3 linked regions of the Oryctolagus cuniculus genome follow. The protein of the gene in region 1 binds, or shares a complex with, the protein of each later gene. Links are inferred from orthologs where the notes say so. Each region holds a gene or a part of one and is shown in the gene's direction. Other genes may lie near its edges.

Evidence for each region.
Region 2: the proteins of CDKN1B (region 1) and SKP2 are in contact, whole or in part, in a crystal structure (PDB 2AST), measured with the Homo sapiens proteins. The link is inferred for Oryctolagus cuniculus from reciprocal best matches to the Homo sapiens genes CDKN1B and SKP2. Residues at the interface, in NP_004055.1 of Homo sapiens: Ala181, Gly182, Ser183, Glu185; in NP_005974.2 of Homo sapiens: Arg294, Asp319, Val321, Arg344, Tyr346, Asp347, Gly369.
Region 3: the proteins of CDKN1B (region 1) and SFN are in contact, whole or in part, in a crystal structure (PDB 7ORG), measured with the Homo sapiens proteins. The link is inferred for Oryctolagus cuniculus from reciprocal best matches to the Homo sapiens genes CDKN1B and SFN. Residues at the interface, in NP_004055.1 of Homo sapiens: Arg194, Arg195, Arg196, Gln197, Thr198; in NP_006133.1 of Homo sapiens: Lys49, Arg56, Arg60, Arg129, Tyr130, Glu133, Leu174, Asn175, Val178, Glu182, Leu222, Asp225, Asn226, Leu229, Trp230.

Annotation. Positions count from the first base shown.
Region 1 is NC_091440.1:110,363,550-110,367,248, forward strand, and holds the start of CDKN1B (cyclin-dependent kinase inhibitor 1B), read left to right. Parts: upstream 1-747; 5' UTR 748-1,392; coding exon 1,393-1,867; intron 1,868-2,423; coding exon 2,424-2,545; 3' UTR 2,546-2,553; intron 2,554-3,699. UniProt on the Homo sapiens protein: Important regulator of cell cycle progression. Inhibits the kinase activity of CDK2 bound to cyclin A, but has little inhibitory activity on CDK2 bound to SPDYA. Involved in G1 arrest. Potent inhibitor of cyclin E- and cyclin A-CDK2 complexes.
Region 2 is NC_091445.1:61,746,844-61,749,462, forward strand, and holds the end of SKP2 (S-phase kinase-associated protein 2), read left to right. Parts: exon of another isoform or gene 1-145; coding exon 146-359; 3' UTR 360-2,003; downstream 2,004-2,619. UniProt on the Homo sapiens protein: Substrate recognition component of a SCF (SKP1-CUL1-F-box protein) E3 ubiquitin-protein ligase complex which mediates the ubiquitination and subsequent proteasomal degradation of target proteins involved in cell cycle progression, signal transduction and transcription.
Region 3 is NC_091438.1:144,640,885-144,643,411, reverse strand, and holds SFN (14-3-3 protein sigma), read left to right. Parts: upstream 1-984; 5' UTR 985-1,087; coding exon 1,088-1,834; 3' UTR 1,835-1,969; downstream 1,970-2,527. UniProt on the Homo sapiens protein: Adapter protein implicated in the regulation of a large spectrum of both general and specialized signaling pathways. Binds to a large number of partners, usually by recognition of a phosphoserine or phosphothreonine motif.

The DNA of each region.
Region 1 (3,699 bases):
CCAGGTGGAAGAAATAGGAACAGTTCTCCACACCCGTCCCTCCCTGCACTTGGGGGCTGCAACCTCGGTTTTTAAAAGCCGGGTTTAGGGACAGCAACAAAGTGCACGTAGGGGCTGGCGAGGCCAGACGGGGGTTGTCCATCCCGAGGTCCTTTCTCCTTTCTATTGAGGGAGAACTTGGGTTCCAAGCGCGTTCTAAACGCTGCGTCCACTTCCGGCTACTTTAGAGAAAGTCGTCTGCCCTGGCTCGCTTCCCCGAGCCCCTTCCCTGCCTGCTCTGGGACTTAGTGGTGAGGGGTGAGCTCACCACTGGTCTCACCCTCTACAGCCCCAGCGAAGGCACCCGGGCAGGGGGCCTGCCCGCGAAGTGGGAGCTGCGGGGGAGAGCCGAGCTGGGCTGGGGTGAGGTGGGGGGTGGGGGATGGGGAAGGGAAGGGCAGGGCTCTTACCCCCACCCCCACCCCCGGCTTGGCGGGCGCCAGCAGAACCAGCTGGGCGGCGGGCCTCAGAACGAGGCGCGGGGGCGACCCTCGGGGCCCCTGGGCTCCGGGCCCGTGGTTGCCCTGGCGAGGAGCCGGGAGGTCGGCGCTTGGGGGCGGCTGCGCGTCCTAGACCCTGGCGGCCCCGCCCGGCCCGCCGCCCAGGCCCCTCCCTAGCGCCGCGGCCGGCCGTTTGGCTCTTCGGGGCCCGTCGCCTTTTTAATTTCTCCGCGGCCGGCGCAGCAGGTTTGCTGGCAGCCGCGCAGCCCCCGTCTGCAGGCGGCGCTCGGGGACGCGGGCGGGCGCCGGCCCCCGCGCCGGGGCCACCTTAAGGCCGCGCTCGCCAGCCTCGGCGGGGCGGCTCCCGGCGCCGCGACCAATGGATCTCCTCCTCTGTTTAAATAGACTCGCCGTGTCAATCATCTTCTTCTTCGTCAGCCTCCCTTCCACCGCCATATTGGGCCACTAAAAAAAGGGGGCTCGTCTTTTCGGGGTGTTTTACGCCCCCTCCCTTCTCTCCACTCTCTCTCCCCGCGGCGCGGCTCCGTCGGCGCAAGGTTTGGAGAGCGGCTGCTTGCGGAGACCCGCGGACTCGCTCCGGCCTGGACTCGGACCGGCCGGGTCACCCCTCCCCGCTCCTCCCCTCCCCTCCCCGCCCTCCTGCGCGCCCGCACTCCTGATCGGCAGCGGCGGCGGCGGCCTGGGCTGCGCGGCCGGGGCGTCCCCGCTCGGCTCCCGCACCCTGCGCGCCCCCAGGAGCGCGGGCGGCGACTGGTCTGGGTCCATCTCCCCGGGCTCTGAGCGCATTCGCGGGGCTCCGCAGCGTCGGAGCGTTGGGCTGCGTTCGGTTTTGTTTTGCGGAGAGCGCGCGCCAGAGAAGAGGCGGCGGGGTCCAGACCCGGTACGGGGCGAGATGTCCAACGTGCGCGTGTCCAACGGGAGCCCAAGCCTGGAGCGCACGGACGCCAGGCAGGCGGAGCACCCCAAGCCCTCCGCCTGCAGAAACCTCTTCGGCCCGGTGAATCACGAAGAGCTGACCCGGGACCTGGAGAAGCACTGCAGAGACATGGAGGAGGCGAGCCAGCGCAAGTGGAATTTCGACTTCCAGAATCACAAGCCCCTGGAGGGCAAGTACGAATGGCAGGAGGTGGATAAGGGCAGCTTGCCCGAGTTCTATTACAGACCCCCGCGGCCGCCCAAGGGCGCCTGCAAGGTGCCGGCGCAGGAAAGCCAGGACACCGGCGGGGTCCGCCCCGCGGCGCCGGTGGCCGCGTCCCAGGCCAGCTCCGAGGACACGCACCTGGGGGACCCAAAGACTGAGCAGTCCGACGGCCCCACGGCCTTGGCCGAGCAGTGCGCGGGGATGAGGAAGCGACCTGCCACAGACGGTAAAGACCCTCCCGGAGCCGAAAGGCGCCTCTGTCCTCCGTCAGTCCGTCGGTCCGTCGGTGCGCGCTCCCGCTCTGCCTGCTTGCGGCTCTTTAACTCCAGCCTATTCTGATGGGAGAGCTCGGGGCGCGGGTGGGGGGTGGAGGGAACGAACTTTTTTATTGATCTCGGGTTTTTGAATGTTACCCGGGAGGCTGCTGGTCTGTTTATAAAGGCAGAAGCCGGGAGATTGTAGGATCTGATCGTTTTGCCCAGGTTGAAAACAGCGCCTTTCCTTCCTACCCCTGGGTAGGTGACAAGGTCGGGATGTTGATCAGCGGCCTCCAACACCCCCCCCCACACACACACACCGGGTCAGGGTAGAGGAAGGTGCGGGGGCCCCATTTCTGTGTGGTGCAGACCACCTTCCTGGGGGCCGCCCCGTCCAGGACCGTGCGTGGAGGCGGTGGGTTTTCATCCCCCTGGCCACTGGGCCAACTTGTGCCGGCCATTGTTTCTTTTACTGAAGATTGTGTGTGTGTGTGTGTCCTTTAAATAATCTCCTCTTGCCTTTAGATTCTTCCCCTCAAAACAAAAGAGCCAACAGAACAGAAGAAAACGGTTCCGACGGTTCCCCGAACGCCGGCTCTGTGGAGCAGACGCCCAAGAAGCCGGGCCTCCGAAGACGTCAGACGTAAACAACTCGGTGGGTTCATCAAAAACGGACACCCCGCGCCCCAGAAAAACAAGCCCAGCTCTGACACCCTAGCTGGGCTGCAGGACCGGTCCCCCCTCCCCCTAATACCCATAGCCAGCTGCTGGGTGCTTGCAGGGTTTGGTTTTGTTTATATTTTGAAAAGGCAAAAAAGTAGCCATGGGGCTGGCTGGAAGTCACCAGCCGTTGGGATACTGTAATCCTTCAAGGTTTCTCTCTCTGGGGATGATTTTCCCTTGAAACACTAACCGCCTAGAGCAAGTACTTGTCATTTTCCGTGAGTCACACCCACACGGGTTGGGAACAATAGATTCCTCCTTCCATCTGAGCAAGAACTGGGGTGCCCCCTCAGTCCCCCTGTTCCAGAGCTCACTTCCTAGCCTATTCAAGTGGAGACAGTAACAGGTTTTGAGCCATACATGGAAAATTGGCCAACACGCAGTCAAAATTTAAACGTGGAGAGAAGAGTTGGTTTATGTGAGGGGTTAGAAATGTGACCAGGGAGGTGAGAGATTGTGTTCTTTTATCTTTATTATTTTTGTAAACTGTCATTTTCCCTTTTTATTGAATATGTTTTGGTCAGAGAAAAGGAACCTGTGTATTAAAAAAAAAAAAAAAAAAGCCAAAAGTGGAAAGCTCGAATATACTCAGATTCCTACGGAATTTCTGATAACACAGAAGCTGCAAAGCAGAAGTTAAGTTCACTGTGGCACAGTAAGCAGTCCAGGAACACGTCAGCGCGTATGCTAATCACACTGTTACCAGCATGATTTGGATATTTGTAGGGGAGATGTCAGGACTGGTGAGGGTAGGTTTACCAGTACAGGAAAAATGAAGTGTTTTCCATATACTAAAATCTGATCACGGTGGATGGCTCATTTGACTAATTCAGCTTCTAACTTTACCTGGATTGGCTGTCCCTCCTGATCAAACTACTTATATTAATAGTTTGGTGGCTTCCTATACACAAGGAGTGTGATCTCTCTTGTCTCTGTCTCCTCCACCCCCCTCCCCGACCCAGTACCCTGATAGTGTAGCCTATAGAGATCTTAATGTTGATGTTGTATTTTTAAATCTTCATTTGTAAAAATTTTAAAGGAAATTGAAAACCATAGGGATTCGGGCGAGATTCAAATT
Region 2 (2,619 bases), on another chromosome or scaffold:
TTCCCTGTGCTCTCCTCTCTGGTCATTTATTGCAAATAGTTTCAAGTTGCACTTTGTGATACAAATTGTAAAAATTGGGTCACATGTTTAGTCAGAGTGGCTCCTTAGATACTGCTACTCTGAACTTCTCTTTCTTCCTTTCCAGTGAACTTGGAGAAATTCCCACGCTAAAAACACTACAAGTTTTCGGAATCGTGCCAGACGGAACCCTCCAACTGCTAAGGGAAGCCCTTCCTCATCTACAGATTAATTGCTCCCATTTTACCACCATTGCCAGGCCAACTATTGGCAACAAAAAGAACCAGGAGATATGGGGCATCAAATGCCGACTGACACTGCAGAAACCCAGTTGTCTATGAAGTATTTATTGCAGGATACAGTATCTTCTTTGGAACAGGGAAAATAGGAAGGACGCCCAATCGCAGGGGCACTCAGCTAGTTTTAGTCTTAGCTTTCCCTTTGCTTCATTCTGCAAGTATATTAGCGATTTGAGAGGGAAATGGGAAGTACTGCTTTCCTGAAAAGACTATAGAAGCTTCTGTTAGTGCTGTGCTCTTCTGAGCCTAAGTTGTAGGCCTTTTCAAATGTTAGGAAAATGAGCCTATAATTTCAAGATACCTGAAAAGAGCAAAATTTGAGCCACCTCTTCAAGTGCCCTTGTGTTAGTCTATTTAGAAGCAAGTTTTAAAATCACTATTGGCAGTTTTTATAGTCTACATGGTAAACTTTTTATCTATTTAATTTTTCAGCATTGCTTTATAAGATGTAGCTTGAAAGAACAATAAGCTAATTGTATTATGGGCTGACCAGAATCGGGATGGTAGCCTTTGAGGCAATCTCTTTTAGGGATTAAAAAAAAAGAAGAAGAATGCATTTCAACTCAGCCTTTAGATTTGAAATTAGGTTAATACAAAAAAAAAAAAGCCCCATGTAATTCACCTTAAAACTTAAAAAACAAAATAGAACTCACCAGAAATGCAGAACCAATATAGGATTTGAAAGTTCAAGAGACATTTTCTACATCAGATTAATTTGAAGTATCCTTTAATGTTAAGATACTAAATTCCCAGAATACTAAATTAGGTAAGGAAATATAATTGTGGTTTTCTAACTTGGTAATCAAATTATGTGAATATGAGTTGTTCTGCTTTTAAAATGACTTGCTTTTAGAACGGTATTAACCAGTCTCTATTCTTGAAAAGCTCAATGGAAGAATTCTGAAGTTGTCTGCTATTTTCCTTTAGTGTTGAGGTTCTTGAGATTATTTTTATATTACTCTGGAATCACGTATTTTGTCTTTTTTTCTAATGGTCCTTTGTAGTATTTGTTTGAAACTATCTACTTTATAAGGTTATTGGACCTAAAGTTCTGTAAGAACTGCATGTTCCTGTAAATCAGAAATACACATTAGAGCAGAAACGTGCCATACCGTTTCAGAGCAGTAAGCACTACTTGCACCTGCGTAAGAGTTCAGACTCAGGTGTTGGAAAAAAAAAAATCAGTGATTTCAAAAATTGAAAAACAGGTACAAAGAAACAAAAAGATCAAATTCTGCTTCTTGAAAATCACAAAAAATTAACAGATGACCTCCCCATATGTGAAAAATGCAATGGAAGTGCCAAAAACCATCATTTCTGTTCACTTTTTTAAATCCAGCTTTTTAAATGTTAGAAATAGTAGTATGAAGTGCCCTTATCTGCTCAGACCTAAGGAAGAACATTTTAAAGTAGTGCTACACAGGAAATGAGTATGCTTCAATTTCTTAGTAGTTCAAAAGTGCTAAATACTACTTGAAATTATTGTTTACAGATTAGTGACAAGGGCTGGTGACAGGATCTGGTTGGACGTTGACTTCCAGATGCCCCCAGTAACAGTGCCTATACTTCAAACTCAAGTCCAGCCATAAGCTAGTTTGCCAACATGTCAGAGTAATCTGTATTTTTGTATGTGATTTCTACTTTTATAGACTTGTATTAAAATAAAACACATTTTTATAAAAGTCAGTGCTGAGTTGTATCCTTTTATCCTTAACAGTGTGGTTAAAATCAGCTAGCATTCAGTGTGGTTTGCCCTGTGCTCAACAGCCTCTGAATAGACCCTTCTAAAGGGAGCCTGAGATAATCCTGTTGACCCATATACTTTGTATGCTTGTCATACTGATGGATTACAGTGCACTTTGAAAAGGTGCTACATATGAGGGCACTTCAAAAGTTCATGGGATATGAGATTCAAGGATTTTATTTTGATGCAAAAAATGTTGATCTATGCATAATTCATGGTGTGCATTTTCCATGAATTTCTTGAAGTAACCATTTACATGCTTATCCTTTTAAAATTCCACAGGTAACTTATTTATGAAATATTTCAATTTCAGTGATTAATGTGAAAGTCAAGTACTCTCAGCTAATAACACTTGTTTTTAAGGTTTTGCTTGTTTTAAAGGAAGAATGGAAGAAAGGGGGAGGGGCAGAAACAGATCTTCCAGCTGCTGGTTCACTCCCAAGATGATGGCAATGCAGGGGCTGGGACAGGCTGAAGCCAAAGTCTGGAACTTCTGGGCTCTCCTACGTGGGTAGCGGGGGTTGAAGCACTTGGGCTATCTTCTGTACATTCCAGGCA
Region 3 (2,527 bases), on another chromosome or scaffold:
GACAGAGGACAAGCTGAGTCAGGAAGGAGAGTGGGACCCTTCGTGAGCCCTGCTGCTCTGTGATGGCAGGCGGCGTGGAGGGGGCAGCTGACCCGGCCTGGAGAGCCTCATGGGAAGTCCTCCAACAAGTGGCAACAGGCCACCGACTTGAAAGGGAAAATTGTGCTGTGAAGGGGAAGGTGTCCGACGAACCTACTGGGTGACTAATTACGCAGGCCCGGCTGGAGCCTCGGAGGCCGCTCGTTAAACACTTCGTTAAGTAGCACCCTGATAGCTGCCACCCTTCTGGGAGCATTTGGGAGCTCGGAGGGGACCCTGCATGGCTGAGGCCCTGGGGCTGGAATTGTCTCCCAGTAGACTCAGGAAGAAGCCTGGCCTCACTTCTAAAAGTCTGGAGCTCCCCGGTCAGAGGGGGCAGGTGACCTGGCATGCAGAGCCCATAGGAGAAAAGCCCAAGGAAGCTGGGTGCAGGAGAGAGCTGCAGGGACTTGGCAGCTGTGTGGCCCTGAGCAAGTCTCACAGCCTGAGAGTGAAGAGGCTCCCACACCACGTCAGGGCTGCACACCTCACAGTCACGGTGGGGACTGCACCCAGTGAGGACTAGGGAAGCGCTTGGGTTACCTCGCCTGAAGGGGGGGGGCAGTGCACCTGGCCGGATTAGCAGCCCCATCTTCCTGCACCCACCTGAGCCCACAGGCTATGCCAAAGCCGAAGCTGCCAGGTGGCTGAAGCCGTCCTTACCTCCTGGCAGCTTCCTAACGCGGGTGCTGGACAGGAGGGGGCAGCCTGGAGCCCAGCAAGGTGCCCGCACAGGTGGGGCCCACGCCCAGATTTCTCCTGCTGACTGTTCCAATGACTCACCCCCACATCCCGGCCCTTTTACCTTTAAGGAAGAGCCGGAAAGGGTGTGGGGAGAAGACAGGGAGGCAGGTCCTGGGCCCCAGTCCCGCCCCCCCGCCCCTCCCCACCCTTGCCTAGGCCAAGCCACCCAGCCAAAAGGCAGGTTGAGAGCAGCAGAGGCACAGAGTCCAGCCTTGGTCCCCAGGCAGCCAGCTCGCCCGCCGCCCGTCTCTCTGTCCCCAGAGCCATGGAGAGAGCCAGTCTGATCCAGAAGGCCAAGCTGGCCGAGCAGGCTGAGCGCTACGAGGACATGGCGGCCTTCATGAAGGGCGCGGTGGAGAAGGGCGAGGAGCTCTCCTGTGAAGAGCGAAACCTGCTCTCGGTGGCCTACAAGAACGTGGTGGGCGGCCAGAGGGCGGCCTGGAGGGTCCTGTCCAGCATCGAGCAGAAGAGCACGGAGGAGGGCTCGGAGGAGAAGGGCCCGGAGGTGCGCGAGTACCGGGAGAGGGTGGAGAAGGAGCTCCGCGGCGTGTGCGACGCCGTGCTGGGGCTGCTGGACTCCCACCTCATCAAGGAGGCAGGCGAGGCCGAGAGCCGCGTCTTCTACCTCAAGATGAAGGGCGACTACTACCGCTACCTGGCCGAGGTGGCCACCGGCGACGACAAGAAGCGCATCATCGACTCGGCCCGCTCCGCCTACCAGGAGGCCATGGACATCAGCAAGAAGGAGATGCCGCCCACCAACCCCATCCGCCTGGGCCTGGCCCTGAACTTTTCTGTCTTCCACTACGAGATCGCCAACAGCCCCGAGGAGGCCATCACGCTGGCCAAGACCACTTTCGACGAGGCCATGGCCGACCTGCACACCCTCAGCGAGGACTCCTACAAGGACAGCACCCTCATCATGCAGCTGCTGCGAGACAACCTGACGCTCTGGACAGCCGACAACGCCGGCGAAGAGGGCGGGGAGGCTCCCGAGGAGCCGCAGAGCTGAGCCGCCCGCCGCCGCCCTGCCCCCTCCGGTCCCCGACGCCCCGCGGAGAGGACTACTACGGGGTGGGAGGCGCCCCCCTTCTCCCCCTCGCTGCGCCGCCCCGGCTCCCAAAGGCTCCCTGGAGAAGGGAGCCGCTGAGCCGAGGCCGCCCGGGGGTCTCGCTCTCCCTGCAAGCCGCGGGGCGCTCCCAGCCCCTGGCCGCCCCCCCACCCTGCTCTCCGCACCCCTTCCCCTCCCGCCTCGCCTCCCTCCTGCCCCTGCGGCTGAGCGCGGCGCCGGGCGGCAGAGGCGGGAGCTGGGGTGCGCGTGTGACTGTGAGTGAGCGAGAGGGAAAGCGTCTGTCTGCCGGCGGTGACCGGCTCGGCTCAATAAACTCCCCGTGACACTCAGTCCTCCGGTCTTCTGCAGTTATTGGCGCTGGGCTGGGAGATGGGTGGGAGTGGGCTTTGCACAGGCCCCGATTTCCCCCGCGGCTGGCCCAGCGGCCCGCGGGCGAGACCTTGCGGGGGCGCAGCCAGGTTCGAGGCGGGGGCCTCTCCCCGCTCCGGGTGGCCCCACACTGGTCTGGTCCCGGGAGGGGCGGAGAGCAGAGGCAGCACTGAGGCGCCTCCCTCGGGCTAGGGGAGCGGGTGCCTCAGGTGTGAGGTGAGGCCGCGGGGTGCTGCGCGGAGCGAGCGGCACGGAGCACCCCAC